Linked DNA regions of Drosophila melanogaster. The gene in region 2 interacts genetically with the main gene of each other region. Each region holds a gene or a part of one and is shown on either strand. Other genes may lie near its edges. The genes, in order: Egfr, Pvr, bsk and Pvf1.

Region 1 (5,016 bases), on a different chromosome or scaffold from region 2:
TTGCCTGAATGAACAATTAAAAGGTGATTTTTTGCCAGCGAGTGTAGCGTTTTGAACTATAAAGACGTCAACAACAATTGCCAGTTGTTCGAGTTTCCTACCCCCAACGATTTTTTTAACGGTTTCGATTCGAATGCACGTGCAGGCTTTTCTCTAGCATTTATTTGCATACATGCCGCAGCTGTGCTTATTTTTATGGTCATAAAGAAAACAGCGAAACAGTAAGCCAGAGCAAATAACTCGAACAATTTCTGCGAAAAGGGCATTGTGACAGCAGCGATCGTCTGTGCGAAAAAAAAGGGTAATATCGCTTTTTAAGGTTCTGGCATCTTTATCGGTTTCATAACTCGCTTATCTAGCCATACATACATACATACATACCACATCCACATATCCGGCTATGCGGTGGTGGTCTCCCGTCTCCCATTAGCATAGACTGCGTAGCCAAAGTTTTCGTTTTCCTATCAATATTTGCACAGTTGCTGGCGCACAATGCGCACATTCAGTTATTAATTTGCAGCTACAAGATCACTGAGTACTTGGTATCGACGGCCCGCTTTTATTCGCCTCCCATTTAATTTTTACTTTTCTGTTTGCCCGCCGAATACAAACATTTGCCTCAAAGTACTGTGCAAACAGACACCGCCAGATACGCCATGGAGTTCATTAAATTGTGGCCAAATGGTTACCCAAACATACAGCCAGCCAGCCAAGCAGCCAAAACTTCCAATATGCGAATACCAAATTTTGTGTATTAATTTATTTTCCAACGGGTAAGAAACAAAGAGCCCACAAAGAAAACCTCGAGAACTGCAGAGTCAACAAATTGAGTCGCCATTTTAGCTGGAAATTGTGTCGCTAGTTGCAGTTGCCCTATTGCTCTTACTGTTGCTTTTGCTGTTGCAATTGCAATTGCTGCTGATGCACAGAAAAGGGCACGCAGACGGCGGGAAAAGTGGCAGAGTGGAAAAATCGGGCGGTCTTAACACTAACTAACTACTACGCTTTACCTTGTACATTTGACATTACGAAATGCACAGCACAGTGCTCAGTGCTTGGCTAATCAGTGCGTTCTGGTATTCTGGTATGTTTGCCGTGATATCTGATGGCTAGGTGTGGGGGTAACTCGAAACAGGGGCGATAGTGCACACAAGACTCTTTGACTAAGCCAGCGCCAAGTCAAGAGGTGAGCCACAGGGCAGGTGAGACCGTCGCGAAGGGCAGGTATTAAATGGAGGGAGCATTCACTCTGGACTAGGGGATACCCTGGCGTATACGTGATATTGGGAAATATCATTCAAAGTCCATATTCCAGACACATAAATGTTAAGTAAGCTTATATTACTTAAAATACTACGAATTCACACACTATTGCAAGTGTTTTTTAATCTATGAGCTTAGTAAAATATTTGTAATATTGCACACTTTGCAGCTACCCCTCGATAATTGATATTCCCAGGGTAACGATAAGACCAAATAATACGAAATGCAGCCGAAAACGAAGCTATATTTAAAGTGCAGTACAGGGGAAAAATAAAAAAAAAACATCACAGCGATAAGATAAACGACAGCATATCGCTGGCACGAAACTACAATAAAAAAAAAAACACCTGAAAACGGTGGAAACTCTAGAGACCAACTGATACGGTGGCCAAATTCGGGACGACTTGGCTCTTTTGATATATGGGCAGCCAGTCAGTCAGCCAGATGATCTACATAAACACATTTTGATAGATGATGGGCGGCTTGAGGAAGATGGATAGATCCTTGCGGTGCACTTACTTTTCCCCTTGACGAACTCGTTCTTGTTCTTATCCTCCAGACTGGTGGGAATGGTGACTCCGTTGGCTCCCAGTCCCAGGGCGAAGTTGGCCCCGCCCCTCTGTCGATTTTGGGCCGAACTGCTGCGGTATAGGAATCGATCTCGATCCCGATCGCGATCTATATCCTGATGGCGCTGGCGATTGTTCTGGCGGGCGTAGCGATCGCGGGCCGCCGACGCGGGCCAAATGCAAATGCAGTGGGCCAGGAGCAGGAGCAGCAGGGGGAAGGGGCAGGGGCCGTTGCGCCGTCGCAGCAGCATTGTTGCGGGGCGGTGGGTGGTTTGGTGGTTGGTGCTTTTTGTGGGCGTTACTGGTGGGATGAATCAAGCCCTCTTCCAAGCTATAACCCCTGACGTCATAGGGGTTATTTTTTATTCGTTTCTTTTTCTTGAACTTGCGGTTTACTTTCGGCTTTTTGCTCACTCAGCTTTGCGTGCCAAAAATACAGCTTTTCATAAATTTGATTTCGACTCTTTCACTGCGTTTGCTGCGGTTGCTGTTGTTGTTGTTGTTGTTTTGAATTTAAGCTGTTGTCGTTGCAATTTGCCACTGTATTGGTGTTTACATTTCACTGTGTATGCGCGTGAGAGTGAGTGTGTGTTTTCGAGTGGGTCTTTTGAACGCGCCAGTGAGTGAGTGTGTGCGTGAGTGTAGGAACCAGTTTCACATTACGAGCCACAAGAGTCGTCCGAAGGCTTTCATATATATATATATATATATATGAGTGTATGTAAAAAATAAAATTTTTGTTATTTTTCAGATGTATTTTTCAGCTTCTTTTTTGAGTTCGCCAACGATTTTTGAGGTTAGAGAGGCGTGCGCAGGCGCAGCTCTTAGCTTTCAGCTTTAATTGATTGCCCTAAGCAATTGTTGTGTTGCCCCCGCAGCGGTTAACTTGCACAAAACACACACACTTGGCCATCATTCGAACTGAGCCACAACCGCCACAGCCGCGGCTGCCAATTAGCAGGGTATTCACAAAAATACGCTTAGTAGTATAGTATAGGCCAAAGGCACTTGGCTTACACCCCGTTTTTGGCTTTGGTTTTGGTCGTTTTGCGAACTGTGATTTCTCGGTACTTCGATTAGCACGATCTTCGAATTAGCAAACGCTGCGATCGAGAGCACAGATATGGCCGAGGATTCGAGCTCAAGACGTCCGTACTGAGCGATTCGCGTCCGCGCAGCAACAAGTTGTATTCGAGACTGAGGCCAAAGCCGCAGCCAAAAGGCGCTGCTCCCTCTCTGTCTCTCTCTCTCACTCTCTCGCCGTGTTTCTTACTCTCGATTGCGGCGAAAAGAGCGCGCACAGGTAAAAATAAAGGTGAACGGCGAAATCTCGAGCTCAGATCAGGTCAAAATAAAAGCAAAGCCAGCGATACAGCAACAACTACGGCACAGCTGCGCACCGCTGTCGCCACCTCTCGCTCGCTCAGTGCAGCGTTCCCACTCGCACCGCCAGCGGACCATCTCCATCCACAATCCACAGGTAATCGTAAACGTAGCAGCAGCATTTTAAAAAGTCAGCGTAATACGAAACGATACGGCCAGATACATTGGGCAATCTTCCCCCAGACCAGCAAATGCTCTACATATCATGGGAAAATGCTAAACGTTGGCCCTAATGCACAGAATCGAATTTAGCGCCATCTCAAATGAACGGAAACACCAACTAGAGATCTTAAGTTCGCAGAACATAACTTCAACTAACAATCTTAACATAGAGTACATGGCTCAGAGCGGTTAAGTATCCCAAGCTTGAAGAGTGGATACCAAAGAAGGACAATCTTTTTGCACAAAATATGTTGCTCGATATACAGGGCGTGTATAAATAATATACACACGGGATTTATGTTAAAAAAGTTAAGAAGCATTTATACGCAACAACCTCAGTTTTAAGATAGCAAAGTTTAGGTAGGATTAAGAAGGCGCCATAAATAGCCTTTTCAACTGCAGAGACGAGTTTTCCAACAAAGGAAAGTACTTGAGCAACAATGTCCTGATTTTCCCCTCCCCCCAAAATGCCCAATAGCAAAGACAAGAGCAAAAAAACCAATGCGGGGATTATCCGACAGCATCTTAACTCCGACAGCTGTGCAGGGCATTTAAGATTCGCATCGATTGCAGGTCGTTCCCAGGTAAGATCTTGTGTATATCCCAATTTCTTGACACTGCTGCTGTTGTTGTTGTTGTTGTTGGAGGTTCTGTTGTTGCGGCGAATTTGAGAGCGTTCAGGTAAAGCGATCGCCGCTCTCTCACCTGGCTGTATATACATGGGTATGTGTGGGCAATGCTGCCATATAAGCACAAAAGATCTCGGCAATTGTATCTGTATCTGTGTGTGTTTGTGTGTGTAACTGTGCCCGCATCTGCATCTGTGTCTGTGAGCCGAGCCTGCGTGGGCCATGGATTGTCTTTTGGCAAAAAGATTTTTGTACGAGCGTTGTCAACATTGTTAGGGCAGATCCAAGACCGAGATCTCGTTGGCCTCTTCTTCACCTGTTCCCAGCCCACAAGAAATCGGGGTTTTTACGCCTGCGCCATGTGCTCTGCGGGATCGGGCCAAAAGGACACTGTTTCGGCAGGTAAATCCGAAGCGTTTTGACCTTTTTCACTTTGCCATAACAGAAATACAAAAGGTGCACTTGGAAAAGCGCAACTAACTCCTCGGTCCACATTTGAATCTCGAATCCCACGCTGTGACTCTCGAGAGGCGTTGCATTGTCTTGCTCGGCGCTTTGTTTCAGAGCATGAAAATACATTTAAATTGAAAAGCATTTCCACAGATTTCCACGATGGGGTAAAAGCGCCATGCTCCGGTCTGCAGCCATAATCAAACATATTAATAGCCGTCTGTCCCAAGCCAGAAGACCTCAATCAAAAGGTACACTGCCCAAACCGTACGGAATCATCTGTCAAAATCGAAGAGCATGCAACTGACAGCCGAACATCGAGTTGAGAACGATCTTAGAACTCAGAACTCTGAAACCACTTCAGGGCACTCCACCAACTCCGCCAGTACGAACCACAGGTAAACGCCGCTCGAGAGGTGTAAGATGCCGAGATTCTGAGATTCCAAGATGCCCCGACCCACACTCATAAACATTTGATCAAGCGTACAAAATGCCATGCGAAGAGAAATGTTTTTTAACTCCCCCACTCCAGTGCAGCACTCCATCTGTCTATGATCTCT
Region 2 (4,578 bases):
ACGTGAACAAAAAGTTCCAGCTAGTACCGAGTTACAATCAGATGGTCAAGGATTCATTTATGGCTGAAGCGGAGGCAATCGACATTGTCGATCCCAATAAGGCTTCTTCAATTGTCAATAATTGGGTAGATAATCAGACGCGTGGTAAAATCAAAGACTTAGTTTCATCCAATGACATGTCGAAAATGGAATTGATCGTCTTAAATGCCATATACTTTAAAGGCCAGTGGGAGTACAAATTTAATCCCAAGTTAACGAAGAAGAGGAATTTCCGTGTTTCGGATCAAAAGAGTGTTCCTGTCGAGATGATGTCACTATTTCAATCATTTAGGGCCGCACATGATAGTGAACTGGGTGCCAAAATTATCGAGCTGCCCTACAGAAATTCAAGCCTGTCCATGCTAATTTTTCTACCGGACCAGGTCGATGGACTATCAGAGCTGGAGAAAAAGATTGTAGGATTCAAACCGAAACTTTCCAAAATGGATGTAACTTTAAGGCTTCCCAAGTTTAAAATCGAATTCTTCGCTCAACTAAACAAAGTTCTTGTGGCGGTGAGTATTCACAGATTATTCTTGATACACCCTTACAATTTATAGATATTCATCTATAGATGGGCATACAAGATGCGTTCGAAAAATCTGCTGACTTCAAAGATCTGGTCGAAAACAGTAACGTTCATGTGAAAAAAGTCATTCATAAGGCGTTCATCGAGGTTAATGAAGAAGGAGCTGAGGCAGCGGCTGCAACAGGTATGATATAATTTTATTATATATATATTTGTATAATATGTTTTATTTTTGCCAGCTTTACTTTTCGTGCGCTATAGTATGCCTATGCCGTCATCTCAAATGGTTTTTAATGCCGATCATCCTTTTGCCTATGTCATTCGCGATAGGGAAACCATTTATTTCCAGGGCCACTTTGTGAAACCGAATGAATAAAATGTACTATTTCTTATCAATAATAAATGGAAATTGTATTATACTTTATTGTAGAATAAAAGGATTTACCAGTTTCCTGAAAATATTTAATAGGTGGAAAGTAGTGAAAATGCTATAGTCGAGACCCTTATAAATCACAATCCCCTTACTCAGCTGACAAATCGTTAGAAATGCTTAAATGATACTAAATATTATTTAATAAAAGAAAACTTTATTTTAAGCACTTCGATCTAAAACTAAAACCGTTAGGAAATTTAGTACGCATGGCATCACTGGCCGCCACTGGCCAACTGGAACTGTTTTCAAGCGGTCTGGCATCGCCGCGAATAGCGTGATTGCGTTCAATTTTTAGCTCGTTATTTAGTACACTTCACCTTTCAAAATAATAATGAAATAATAATAAAAGGAAACTAAACGAGAGATAAACTCCCTAACGAAACAAGAAAATTCAAATGATGTTGACTAAAGATATAACAAAAATATTATTCTATCCGTTCTATTCTACATGCTGTAGATAACGCTCATCGATAGCAAAAAATAACAATCGAATCGGATACCTCGATAGTACCGTCGATAGTGCCCCAGCTCTAGTTAACGTTAACTTTTCGAGCTGTTCGGACGTCAAAGCGGAAGGAAATTTCGCGGGCTTTTGACTTGTGTTCGGTGCAAACTGTTCAAACTTTGCCGACGACGCAGTATTTATTGTCTTTCAAGAGCAACCGATACTGCTGAAGTGCCCCACGCAGAAAGTGTTAAGCACAGAAAACCACAACGTAAGCGTTAATTTTTGAAAGGCTCGAAGATACGTCCGATAATATAGATATAGAATCGTGTGGAAACGAAACCAAATCGTGTCGTATATAAGTATAAGTGAAGCATCAAAGGTGCTAAGCAAATGAATCCGCACTCAAAAGTTTAGATATCGATGTGAGCGAACCCCCACACCTTCGCAAAAGTAAAAAACAAACACAGATACGAATCGGAATTCGAATACAAGTGCAAACTCAGCCACAGGTGGTTGACAAGAGTTCTAAGTGATTGTCAATCGTAAGCTCGAAAATCGAAATCGAATTCGGCGCTCGTGATGTTGCTCAATTCGATGCAATTATACAAAAAAAAAACACCCAAAATAGTCATGGTCACTATGCTCCTATAGATGGTGTACATAATGAACTATTATCAGTGACCTTTTTCTAAGTGCGTGTGTGTGTGTGTGTGCTATTATCACTGCCTGGTATTATTCATTGATAAGTGCATATAAGTGTTGGGTCTACGAAAAGTGTGCGTGTGTCTATGGTGAATACGTCAGCGGCATTCCAAGTAATCAAGACTGCAAACATCCACCGGTGCCAGGTATTCAAATCGTGATTCATCGCCGATCGTGACTGTTGTACGTTCAAAAGTTGTTGTTGTATCTTCAATAGTTGTTGTTGTTGCCAAGCTGCTGCGATCAAACGGTAGACTGCGTAAGACTATGAAAATATGAATAACACTACGATGGATTTCGAATTTACTCATACTGCTTTTCCAGAAACACCCAAATAAAGTTGGTATATATACATATATATGTACATATATATATAGAAGAAAGGGTTCACCTTTCTTTTGTTTGCCTGGTCAACTGAATGTGTCTATAGCGACTTTCTTAAACCGGTTCCACGCCATCCGTTTCTTGACCAAACGAACTGTTGATACATTTTCCCCCAATACGTGACTCAGGATCGAGAAGTTCTGATCAAATCAGATGCCCATAATTCATTGCCTCCAATTGCACACTGTGCCCAATTTGTTTATTGAATACAGACCTCCTTCAGTTTGCCGACTGCTCCATTTATCTCTGGCCACTTCAAAAGGCTGCCCAGCCCAGGCTGTTGTTAATTGCCATCGTTCTCAATGTCCGGAAAATGTGGTACAAAACTGCTACGAATCGTCAAAGTTTGGAGTCATAAAAATGTCCGCGAATGGTGTTGATGAAATATTTATTGTAATTCCCCTGGCCAAATTCGCAATTCACCTGGCATCAAGCGTTGAACAACTGTTGTGATAAGCCAGAATAATCAATGGATACTAGTGGTTCTTGGAAAATGTGCACCCATCACATTGCTACTGGCCACTTGCACCTCTTTTTCACACCTACCCATTATGCACATGGCACATTAATCAGGTGGGGCTTATGGCCAAGTATCCACCAGATACGCACACCTGCCCCGCCCCCCGCAGTGGGTGTCAAATTAGAGATACTTTACTGTAGTTGATTGTGCTGAAGTAGAGAGCTCCATTACGAATAAATTACTTTGTATGCACTGGAAAAAATGAACAAAGTAGTTCTTTCGCATTAATAGAAACTAATTATAAATACACACAAAATATTTAAGCAGAACTCGCCGAAAATAGACTTCAAAATAATCAAAGAATGTGTGTGACAACGAATTTGTGTGCATTTCAAGCGATTGTAATATCTCTAGAGATATTTAGAATGCTGATATGTATTATTGCACAAGAGATCTTTTTAATCTCAAGAGGATTGCTTATGCACAGAAGATTGACTTCCTGTTGTAGATAAAAACACTAGAATTGAGTTTAGGTACATTTTGTACATCTGTAGAGAGAAAAATCATTTTGCGTTTCTCTAAGGCAGTTCGGATAAGCTGAAACATTTTTGAGAAACCCCTTAACTCTTTGGGCGAATTGGCTCATAAATTTCCATTTAAGATAATATCTGTTTAATTGAATTTGCCGGTTACCAATAAGCCATAAATAAAACCGATTCGTTGGACAATCTCGGCCAGCATTGAACACGTTTTCACACCACTTTGTTGGTTGGCTGGCTGGTTGGTTGGTTGGTTTGGCATTCTATGAATGGACACCTTCGCCTCTTTACATCCGCCGTGGTCTGAGTCAGAACGTAAATAATAAATAACAAATAATAAATTGACAGCGGACAACAAATGTTTTGGCCAGGCCATTGTAACTGTCTGCATGGAGAGGTGGAAATAACTTGGCCATAAATCTGCAAAAAAAAAGGCTAAGCAGGCAATTGGCTTTCACCTGAGCCCTAGACTAAAGCCCATTCATAAGCGCTGGAAACTTTAGACTAAAGCCCATTCGTTGGGAAAATTTTATCTGCCCCATAAACTGCACGTAATCAAGTGCACTTCGGAGAATCAGGGAAATAAGAAAATATATGTATATATATATATAAAAGCAATCTTATTTCCGTCGGGAATAAAATGGCAGAAGGCAGCCAGCCAGTCAAAACAAAAAATGCATTGAGTAAACAAATCGCATAAAATTGAGCCATGTTTTGAGGTCACGGCGAGGCACTAAATGGGCTATATACATTGGCCATATTTATTTATTAATCGGGCGAAACCCAAAACAAACAAATTAAACACTTGTCGGCTATTAAGTGAACGCATATAACATTTCTATTTATTCGCCAGCAGCTGGCCAACCAACCAACTTGTTGTCGCCACGCGTTGTAGTTGTATAATATGTGGGCAGAATGCCAACGATTCAATTTCACCGGCAATGGTCTTTCTATTATTTTTATTAAGTTCCCAGTTTATGGAAAAGAAAAGAAACAACTTTTCCAAATCTCTCGAGTGACAACTGAAGAGTTATACAACCGAAA
Region 3 (5,502 bases), 2.0 Mb from region 2:
GTTCACCAACGCAATTCTTTATTATCAAACCCACATTTATTCGCGATGACACTTTGCTGTTATCGTTATCGCAGCATAGGAATAACAGTACGAAGTTGCCATCCCGATCTCTACACCGGTGAGAGTTGCCAGCCCGATTTACACGCCGGCTTATTCGATACTAATTGAGTTATCGAATGACCGTTTGTTTCGTTTAAATTTAGTATAACAGTTTTTTATTTAATCATCATTTTAAATTTTTTGTATTTTAGAAATGTTTTTATCGGTAACTAAATTATCTACTTTCCATATTCTTGTATGAAACAAAATTTTAAAAGTATGTATCGACTTTATATACCGAAATAATTTATATGGTTAAACTTTTCCATTTAAATTTTATGAATTTATACAAAGATTAAAATGTAATTAGCTCCTGAAATCAGGACAATGAAATGATTAAACTGGTATTTTAACGATTTAACTTAAGAAAGCGGGCTCAAAAAACAAGGATGAGTAAGAAATTACAAAGTTTCGCATATTGATTTTATTTTTTAATGGTTACTATATTTTTAAATACAATTTGAATATTTTATTTGTTGTAATAATTTAACAATACACGCCGTATTGTTGGTAAGCTTTAGTTTTCTTGTGACTGACTAAGGAGGAAAAAGTCGTTCTCTACCGCGTTCTATTATTTGTATTGTGTGCTTCGTAGTCCATGACTTCCTCATAGATTAGCTCCTTCCACTGCTCCACAGTGTGTTCCCTTTCGTCCACGCTGTGATCATATGGCTCCGGAGCGGGCTGCAAGAGATGCATGCAATTAAGCGATTAAAAACATTCAACATTCCTAGAAATCCAGTTTATGCCAGAATCACTTACAGCATCCACTTCCTCAGCATCATACCACACGTTGATATATTCATGCTTCAAAGCCTCGTCCACAGATATCCGCTGCTCTGGATCAATGACTAGCATTTTACTAAGAAGATTTCTAGCGTCAGAAGCCTTCCGGCGGCTATTCTGATTATTATCATTTGGAAACAAGCCATCGGGGAAAAGTCTATCAAATGAGTATCCAGTGTATCTAGGACGATTTTCCACATAGTTTCGGACGGTTGGCTGTAACCGTTGCATAAACGAGGGTGATGGTGTACCTAATTGCTCTGAAAAAACGTAAAAGTTGACAATCATAACGAGAATCAAGTTATTTAAGCAGCAACATACCAATAATTTTATTCCACTGATCTATATGATCCGTTCCAGGAAACAGCACACCGCCCCGTATCATTTCGCCCATAATGCAACCGACGGACCATATGTCCACGTTCTCTGTGTATCCCATGCCCAAAATGACCTCTGGAGCCCTGTAATATCGGGTGACCACATAGGGAGTCATCATAAAGGTAGTTCCTGCAGTACGTGCCAGACCGAAATCCAAAATTTTTAGAGTGCAGTCGGCCTTTACAACTATATTGGATGGCTTTAAGTCCTGCAAATGAAGTATTTCATATATTTCATACTCATTTTAAAGATGTATTCATACTGTACGTACTCTGTGAATAATTCCTGCTGAGTGTAAATGTTTTATTCCGCACAACATTTGATAAAGCAAATAGGACATTCTGTCGTGATCCAAGTCCATTTGGATGACCTGGCAGAGATTAGCGTCCATCAGCTCCATGACCAGGTAGACATCCTGAAACTCTTCCAAGTTCCTTTGCGGCGTAAAAGCATTAAGTAAGCCAATTATCTACGGATTAAATACCTATGTTTAGTAGAAATTTGTTAAAGTTAAAGGTGCAAGTTTCATACGTTTTTATGGTTAACAAGCTTCATTAGCTTGAATTCCCTATATGCTCGCTTGGCATGGGTTACATTTTGGAATGGTCGAGATAGTTTCTTAATCGCCACATTTTGCTGGGTGATAGTATCGTAAGCGGCGCTGAAATGCATTAAATTTGTTATTTTTTTTTTTCATATTCCAGCTAATCCCATCTAATCTAATCTAATATACAATGGAGCGTTACAAATATGACTTCATACTCATGCGAAATATCTTAATTGTTTAAGCCAAAAAATTGTTAAATGTATTATATGTAATAACATATTGATAACCACTTACCATACTATTCCTTGGGCACCTGATCCTATGGGCCGTAGATTAATGTACCGACTGTGGATGGTGAAGTTGGTGTCCCCCACCTCGACGGTGTAGTGTTGGTGCTGAGCTGTCGTCATTGTTCACTGATTTTATTTATTACTAGTTGAGAGCAAGGAGCATATCGGCCTTTTCAAGAGGGTAAATAAGATAAATCAATACGGTTTTACAGTGTGATTCTGTTTTATATAAGGAGCAAAGACGTCCGTATGTATGGCTCCATTCTGAATGGGTGGAGGCAGTTTTCAGACAACTTCGTCTGGAATTAGGGGGTAGGAAAACATTAACTTTGCCTGGCCTTATTTCGGCAGAATGTTATGGCCATTAAGTGGGTCTCTGTTGTCGCGAGGGGTGAAATTTACTGGCTAGTGTGTGGCGAGTTTGTTGCCAAACCACGAGCAAAAAATATCGAGTTCCTTCAAAAAGATACAATTGCATAACGCAGTCACTTATTTGAGCCGACTTCGAATGCCGAACCCCCTTTTCTATTGATAAGCATTTAAATGTTTGCCGAACACATGTCGAATATGGTTGGAAAAACACCCAACAGAAATAACCGAGCGTTTCGTTCTTTGAGCAAAGTGTTTAGCGGCACGCACAGGAAAAAAAACCGATTTAAAATCGATATGTCCGGCTTAAACATAAAAGTACGGAATGTTGGACCACAGCGATGTACATAGCGTTCATGTGTATGCATGCCGTTGCCTGTGTAAATATGTACATACACACGATTTGTATGCGGATGAAAACTGTAAACTTCTACTGGTATACATATGTGTAAGATGTAAGCCACATACATACATATGCACATACAGCCACACAAATGTGGGTCGATAATTTAGTAACTTTTCAAACTATCTCTCAGATAAAAGATATTCCCCGTATTCGTACATCGAAAAAGCGCTCGTTTGCGCTGCAGATAATAAAGCGGTCTACGCTTCGGGTAGTGTCGATATGTAAACGTTAGACATTTGCGCATACATAGGTACATACACTCTTTGGGCAGTTGACATTTTATGTTAAATATCAATAATTTTTTTCATAACCGGCACAACTATAATTGCTTTCAATCGATTATGGCACGTTTTGCAGGAGTGTTTCGGTGATTCGATATTTGATGTGAATGGAACGTAATAGAATATTTATTTACCATTTAACGAAGAAGTACAGAATTTCTTGTGAAAATATAAAATCGATTTTTTTTCTATTTTATTCTACACACTGGGCACTCAAAGTGGCGAGCATTTTAAACTATGTTAATGTTATTGAAATTTAAGAATCAACTATCTGCGGCACTTTCGCATGAGAATAATTGTACATGGATACAATACAATATACGAAAATCTATTGGAATATTCGATCACAACAAAGTTACTTAAATCGATGTGACCAGATTGCAGTAGGACCAAAACCAGAAACGGCTAAAGTCAGCCAATCGACTTTTGATTAAAATTAGGTTTAATTAGGGGTTTAAAACCTAATAAGTGTTAATAACTTACAAATAAACATATACAAATGCAATTTATTTAATAAAGACCAAAAACTAAGTTGGCGCAGTGTTTCATTTCACCGTTCCGGTCATTAGATATTCCTTTGCTCGACTTATCGAGTATACATCGAATGACGAATGAGAAATACTGTCATCACTAACAATAAATAAAAACAAAAGAGTTGAAATACACAGCGATATGAGGACGGTTGGTTTTTGGCCACTGATGAATCACATAAGCTGATAAGTGCTAATTTTAAAATCTTGTCCTTGCAGTCATCACCAGCACTTAAATACCTATTGGAGAAGGATGTTCAGGTGTCGAAGCATTTTGTAGTAGCCGTCTCCAATCTGTCGTTCTTCAAATCCCTGCGGATCCACAGCAGATTTCTGGAGATATCATGCGATGGAATCGCCTGGTTTGTCTCATGGATCGCCTTCATCTGGTTGCTCAGCTCGAAGAGCTTGTATCAAATGCAAGTCAATATGCTCTTCGGCCTGATACTCGACGTAGTGATCGTGGCCGTGCTGAAGGCGCTTGTTCGTCGCAGGCGACCGGTGGCCAGCAAGGATATGCTGACCATTGGACCCGATAAGTTCAGCTTTCCCTCAGGTCATGCCTCCCGGGCGTTCTTTGTGCTGCTGTTCTTCGCCAAGCTGTATCCGCTTCACATCATATTCCTAATGCCGGTCACAGCTTGGGCTGTAAGCGTGGCCATCTCACGGCTCATCCTCCAGCGTCATTATATTTTGGATATCTGCGCCGGTGCTGCCATCGGAGTGTTGGAGGCACTAATCGTGGGACTTCTGTGGATCAGCGAGGAAACTGCATTTAGCATTGTGGGCTTTGTTACCGAGGAAACTGTCGACAGCATGGAGTAACGATAAGTTACGATTGGAACACCGAAAGCAATAGATAATCTCTAGATCATTATGATAAATGCTTTAACCAAATACATTGTTAATGTTAAATTCATATTATTGTGTATTTCGCATAATTTTTCTACCCTTATTTCACTGTGAAAAGGGAAAGTGTACTTTAAATGAGACTAAAGTCGTTATACAACCATCTTTAATAAAATAAATAAAGCTTTTGAAGATATTTGGATTATTAATTATAAGAAATTATAGTGTAATTCCTTTGTTCCGAGTCATAGCACTCCTAAATATATCGATTCATCGATAAGGAGTCAACAACCCCAACGACTTCGTCGGGGGATGAAATGTTGTATGCCACATAAAGTTTTCGCGAAAGGATAAATACAAAAATATTTTCGGAATCGTTGGCATGTCAATTGGACTATTGAAATAACAAAAGGCTTCATATTGTTAGCTAGATTAAGCAATATGAACAAATACTCGGCATTTATAGTCTGCATTTCGCTCGTGCTTTTATTTACAAAAAAGGATGTGGGGAGCCATAATGTGGACTCAAGAATATATGGGTAGGTATTTTCACTGAAAGTTTTCCCAAGTTTCCGCAACAATAATTAGCGAAATACTTTTGTGTGGAATTAATAATTAATGAAATCATGAGCTTAACATGTTTTATATATTTTTAAATTACTAAACATAGTGTATACTCGAATGCAGAAATCTTTAGACGCCCTTATCCTTTTAATCCTTAAAAATGCAATATATTATTTGCCCTGCAGTTTCCAGCAATCATCAGGTATTTGCCATATTTACAATGGCACCATTTGTCGCGATGTCTTGAGCAATGCCCATGTTTTCGTATCCCCCAATCTCACCATGAACGATTTGGAGGAGCGATTAAAGGCAGCTTATGGAGTAATCAAGGAATCCAAGTGAGTATGATAACTATTTCAACATTCCGTTGCTAATGCCAAGTGCATATTTTCAGGGATATGAA
Region 4 (4,853 bases), on a different chromosome or scaffold from region 2:
AGTGTATGAGGGCAAGACGAAGAAAAGCAAAGTGAGAAGTGGTGCAAAAAACAACACAGGAAAGGAGATAGCAGAATGGGTAAGAGGGGTGTGGAAAGGGGTGGGGAAGGAGAGCAAGATCGGATGGTGTTAAAAATAGCTTTAAGCTCGCCTTGTAACGGTACTCCTCGGGAGTTTCAATTTGTGTGTATGTTTCTGCACTTGCGTTTTAGGTGCAATGGGTGCACAAGTGTTTATTTGTGGGCTGCAATCAACACACACACACGCACACGGAATTCAGCTATCATTGTTTTCCTTTCTGTTTTCCTTACATTTCTTGGCTCTTTTTAACAGTTAAGCAAATACCGATTGATATGACAGACCAAACGTTGTTATTCTTTTCATCGCTCTCCCTCCCTCTCTCTTTCTCTGTTGCCAGGTGTCACGCACACCTGTGTGATTCATCTTGACATTCCTCTGTGCCGTCTTGTTGTTGTTGCTCTGTTTTTATTTTTTTTTTTGGCGGCTGCTGCACAAGCTTTGTGTGGAGTAACAGCTGTTAGCTTAACAGTTTCGGAATAATTTTCAATTGGAATTAAAAAGATATCAAGTAATTTACTAATCTATCTGCAAAGAATTTCAATAGATCTTACAAACTGAAAACAAGATTCAAAATATAATGCAGATTCTTAAAACCTCTATAGGATGTTCGTTCGACGGGTGGGCCGCTGGTGATTGCACAACCTGTCACATCGAAGGTCTCTTTAACCCGATTCAACGGTTAACTTGTGCGTCTAGTCAGTTATCAGTTATCAGTTGTTGTTGTTTTTGTTGTTGTTGCTACTGAGGCATTTCGTCAGCGCAGATATTACAGATCGACCACAGGGAGACGGATAGATGGGAGTAGTGGTAAGGGGGAAAGGCAGATTACAAAATTAAGCACGTTTTTAAATTATATATATGAATGCGAATATGTACTTATTGCGAAAGCGACAGGCTTTTGTTACTCCTCATACTGATTGCTTTTAGTACCCTGTACTAAAAAAAGGTATGCTAACTTTGGCGAAATCTGATCAGCATTTAGTTTCAAAAAACGCAATCAAGCCACTGTTTACAAGCTTTCTTTAGGAATATTAAACTTATAAGGCTATCATATGCATATATCCATGCCTCAGGTATCATATAGTCGATAGACGATACCCATATGATCTGTATTTAGTTTGCGCAGGTGTCAGCTGTATTTATTCTCACACTTTCGAGGCATTCCTTCCCGGTGCGTCACCCGAAGATATCAAATCATATCAAGTAATCTCAAGGAGGAGAAGGCGAGGAACCAAAAGGAATCATCTCGGAATCGCGATCCCCACTTGGGCGGTCCTTAATTACGCGAAGGGAGTGCCTCCCGCCAGGCAATTGCTCCCCGCACAAGAATTCCAATACAAAAGGAAGACTCAAGCGTTAATGATAAGACCGCGGGCGCGGCGCGGGCGGAGGCGTGGCAGATCAGGGAACAGGCCCATAGCTTGTCTTCCCGTCTGGTCATTCGCTCAGGCAAATCAATTACAATATAGACATGATAATAACTCCACTGCATCCATGGGCCCATGTAGACGGGGGAGCAGTAGAGCAAACAACAAACAAGAAAACACAAAACTTGGACCAACAGGAGGGCAATGGGCAATGGACAATGGGCAGTGGGTTCTACAAGCTCTACAAGATAAATTATGGATTTGCTCCCAAAGGGCTCCCAAAGGGATCGGGTCAACGGCGACGTCTGGAATGCGAGTCTAAGATTAACCGATTTCAACTTTTGGAAGGCGGAAATATGAACAAGTTTTTAAAAAACTAGGGCATATCTAAAATAATTGTTTTCTTTTTTAAGTTTAGTGAAGGTGTCACTTGCTCAAGGTATAGTTTCCTTTCTAGGATATCAAAGTTCTCCAGTTGTTTCATACAATATACGTTATAATTAGAAACGTTTACTATAATATTTTAATATTCATCACATAATATATAATGTGTGACTTTTGTGAGCAAACATTATCATTAAACGTGTTTTCTTTTAATGAAAACCCGCAAATGTGCATTTCAAAATAAATTATTTCTTAAAAATGGCATTTTTGTTCTAAAATGTTATAAATTAAAAAAAAAAAAAAAAAAACAGGAACTTTGAACACATTGCCAGCATTAGTTTATTGAACTTTATTGACGATTTATCCGCAATAACTCGATCATAAACAACTTGATATATTGCAGTTTAAGGCAGCGACTACATTTAAGCCAAGTTCACTTTCATTTGTGATTCACAAATCTTATATTCGCACGCGATTTGACGTAGTTTGATTTGAATAACGATTAAGCCCGGCTTAGACTTTGTTTTTAGGAATTCAAGCGCAACATTTTCACTGGGTTTTCCACACAGCCACTGGAATAACTCAACAGCCAGATCAAAAAACGTTAATTGCAATTGTACTTTTTTGTTTTGTTTGGTTTTTTTTTTTTTTGCATTTGTTAATGATAAAATGGTGTTCTGGTTTTGCTCGAAAGCTATTGGGGAAAAAAAACATATATATAACAAAAGGCTGTGCGCTGTGGAGAGCTTTTTAAAAGGCCCGGCTTTAGTGGGGCAGAAGTGGAAAACCATATAAACAATAACAAAAAGCAGTTTCAGTTTAAATGTTAGATGTAGTCGAGGGTCGCTGGCTTGTTTGTTTACGCTGCTGATTTGTGTTGAAATGTTGAAATTTTGAGAAGCACCACTTACTTTATGGAAACACGGCTTGAAAATTCTAAATATTATGTTTTACACGAAGTTCAATGGCACAAATCGGTTAGCACGAAACGAAAAACAAACAACAAAAAATATGTGTGCACAAATGGGGGGTTTTGTATTTAATAATTTGTGATATATATTTGAGCGCGTTTAAGTTTGTGGTGTTAGCCTCGCGGAGATCGGCGGAGCTGCGATCCAAGCACCAGCAAGTTCCGTTCAAAACTGTCGACTCGTCGGTGTGGGCCAAGTTACTGCGCCCCTATCACCACAGTCGCCAATAACAATAGCAGTAGCAGTAACTGTTGCAGTAACAGTAACAGTACCCAGCTGTCGCAGCATTGCGCTCTCCGCTCTGTACCGCAACACTCACATCCAATCCGAACCGAACCGCTCCGCTCATTACTCTCCCGATCTTGGGGCCTGGAGCGGAGCGGATGGGTTTCACTGTTAACAGTTAACGCTGGGAGAGCGCGATCTCGACTTACGCACACCCTCGCTCAGGAGGCTCGCTGAGATTTTAAATTTAAATATATATAGAGCAACATGAACAATACATATGTTACATTCTATTATCTGTCTATTGGTGGAAATGGAGTATATTATCTGATTAATCAGTGTTGTGGTGATGATAAATATTACTCATAAAGCTGCACTATTTCATCGTTATTTTCAAAGTATTCATTTTAGTGTGACATTTTACATTATGTTAACACTACGCAGCAATAATCTGTAAACTTTCTTTAGGCAATCTTTCATTCTTTCAAACTTTCCTTAGAAAATATTTCAATTGTGCCCGTTTCTATTAACCTGACTTCATGTATTGATATTTTTTTATTCATATAAGTACATTGTCTTTCAGCCATCTGCTTGCTATATTAAAGTAACTATTCGCTTATGTCTATAGTTCCTAAGATGTAAATGTAAATCGTCTCATAAGCATTAATTTTACAGCAAAAAATAAAATACGATTTTAAATTCAAGTTCGTTTGGAAAAACATTTCCGATGACTAGGATATAAATTCAAAATATTAACGCTATTAAAACGTTACATTTATCCATTGCTTAAGTATATATTAATCGTAGTTCTGGACGTGAGATGTCGCTCAGGTATCTACGATTCCGGCTAGGTTGACTGCCCTACGGATGTTCCTCACACACATGCCGTTCGAGATCGATGGCCCGGAAGAAGGGCCGCACGCAGAATTCACAGGTGTAAGTGCCGTGTCCATGGCCGCGATCCGTCTTTATGTGATCGGTGAGGTGGCACCGCTGGGTGAATCTCTTTCCGCACGTGGGACACAGATGCGGTCGGTGGTCCAGGTGCAGACTGTTAACGTGCTTCTTTAGGTGATCAGCAGTGGCGAAGTCCGCCTGGCAAATACCGCACACATGACCGCGCAAGAGGATGTGAACACGTTGCAGATGGGACCGCAGGGCTTCTCGGCTGCCATGGCTCTTGCCACAGTAGCAGCAGTCCAGGGCACTGCGTTCGTGAACCTGCTCCAGGTGCCGCACCAGGCTCAGACTGCCGGGGAATCCGTTGGCGCAGAAGGGACACACGAAAACGCTCGGCTTAGCGTTCACAATGCACGACTCCTTGTCCAGGTCGGTGGGCCAGCCAAAGGTGAGATCGTCGTCCCAGTCGATGCTGGGCAGTATGTTCTCAATGTTCTCCTCTAGCATCTCAAGATCCTCCATTTCATCAACCTGGCTGTCTGCAGGGATCGGATTGAATAGTATTATTAAGCAGGGTATGCCATTAACATCACAACTACTCGTAAGCAGAATACCTACCTGCATCACTGGCCGTGGACTTCAGGGTACGCAGGCGATGCACCTCCTCGGCGTGCTCCTGCAGCTCCAGCATCCCGCTAAAGGTCTTAACGTCGTTGCAGTTGTCCGTGCACATGTCGCAGTAGAACAGCGACTGCTGGCCGTGCCAACTGGCAACATGACGGTAAAGAAACGTGGCTGACGCGTACTTCTTGCCGCACTGCAGGCACAGGAACTGGCCATCGTTGTGCTTTCGCTCCCGATGCCGCTCCAGCCGGGCCTCCTCGCCGAAAAGCGTCAGGCAGTGGGGGCAGACGAAAAGACGCCT

Evidence for each region.
Region 1: of Pvr (region 2) and Egfr, changing one enhances a phenotype caused by changing the other (phenotypic enhancement), as found in Drosophila melanogaster (4 studies listed by BioGRID).
Region 3: of Pvr (region 2) and bsk, changing one enhances a phenotype caused by changing the other (phenotypic enhancement), as found in Drosophila melanogaster (2 studies listed by BioGRID).
Region 4: of Pvr (region 2) and Pvf1, changing one enhances a phenotype caused by changing the other (phenotypic enhancement), as found in Drosophila melanogaster (3 studies listed by BioGRID).

Annotation. Positions count from the first base shown.
Region 1 is NT_033778.4:21,544,658-21,549,673, reverse strand, and holds the start of Egfr (epidermal growth factor receptor), read right to left. Parts: upstream 3,032-5,016; 5' UTR 2,084-3,031; coding exon 1,783-2,083; intron 1-1,782. UniProt on the Drosophila melanogaster protein: Receptor tyrosine kinase, binding ligands of the EGF family and activating several signaling cascades to convert extracellular cues into appropriate cellular responses. Known ligands include spitz, gurken, vein and giant-lens.
Region 2 is NT_033779.5:8,236,831-8,241,408, reverse strand, and holds the start of Pvr (PDGF- and VEGF-receptor related), read left to right. Parts: upstream 1-1,530; 5' UTR 1,531-1,717; exon of another isoform or gene 1,718-2,490; intron 2,491-4,578. Other genes in the region: Spn28F (serpin 28F), read left to right, coding at 1-554, 614-752, 808-944.
Region 3 is NT_033779.5:10,246,991-10,252,492, forward strand, and holds bsk (basket), read right to left. Parts: upstream 3,512-5,502; 5' UTR 3,291-3,511; intron 2,753-3,290; exon of another isoform or gene 2,270-2,752; 5' UTR 2,221-2,269; coding exon 2,105-2,220; intron 1,925-2,104; coding exon 1,795-1,924; intron 1,733-1,794; coding exon 1,535-1,732; intron 1,472-1,534; coding exon 1,207-1,471; intron 1,146-1,206; coding exon 862-1,145; intron 784-861; coding exon 658-783; 3' UTR 512-657; downstream 1-511. Other genes in the region: CG31717 (uncharacterized protein), read left to right, coding at 3,829-3,837, 3,906-4,511; Ror, read left to right, coding at 4,977-5,074, 5,285-5,437, 5,494-5,502. UniProt on the Drosophila melanogaster protein: Mitogen-activated protein kinase and key component of the c-Jun N-terminal kinase (JNK) pathway which phosphorylate and activate transcription factors involved in a wide range of biological processes including response to various stresses, cellular proliferation, differentiation and migration, and regulation of cell shape.
Region 4 is NC_004354.4:18,830,837-18,835,689, reverse strand, and holds the start of Pvf1 (PDGF- and VEGF-related factor 1), read right to left. Parts: upstream 3,009-4,853; 5' UTR 2,744-3,008; intron 1-2,743. Other genes in the region: CG7101 (uncharacterized protein), read right to left, coding at 3,890-4,467, 4,547-4,853.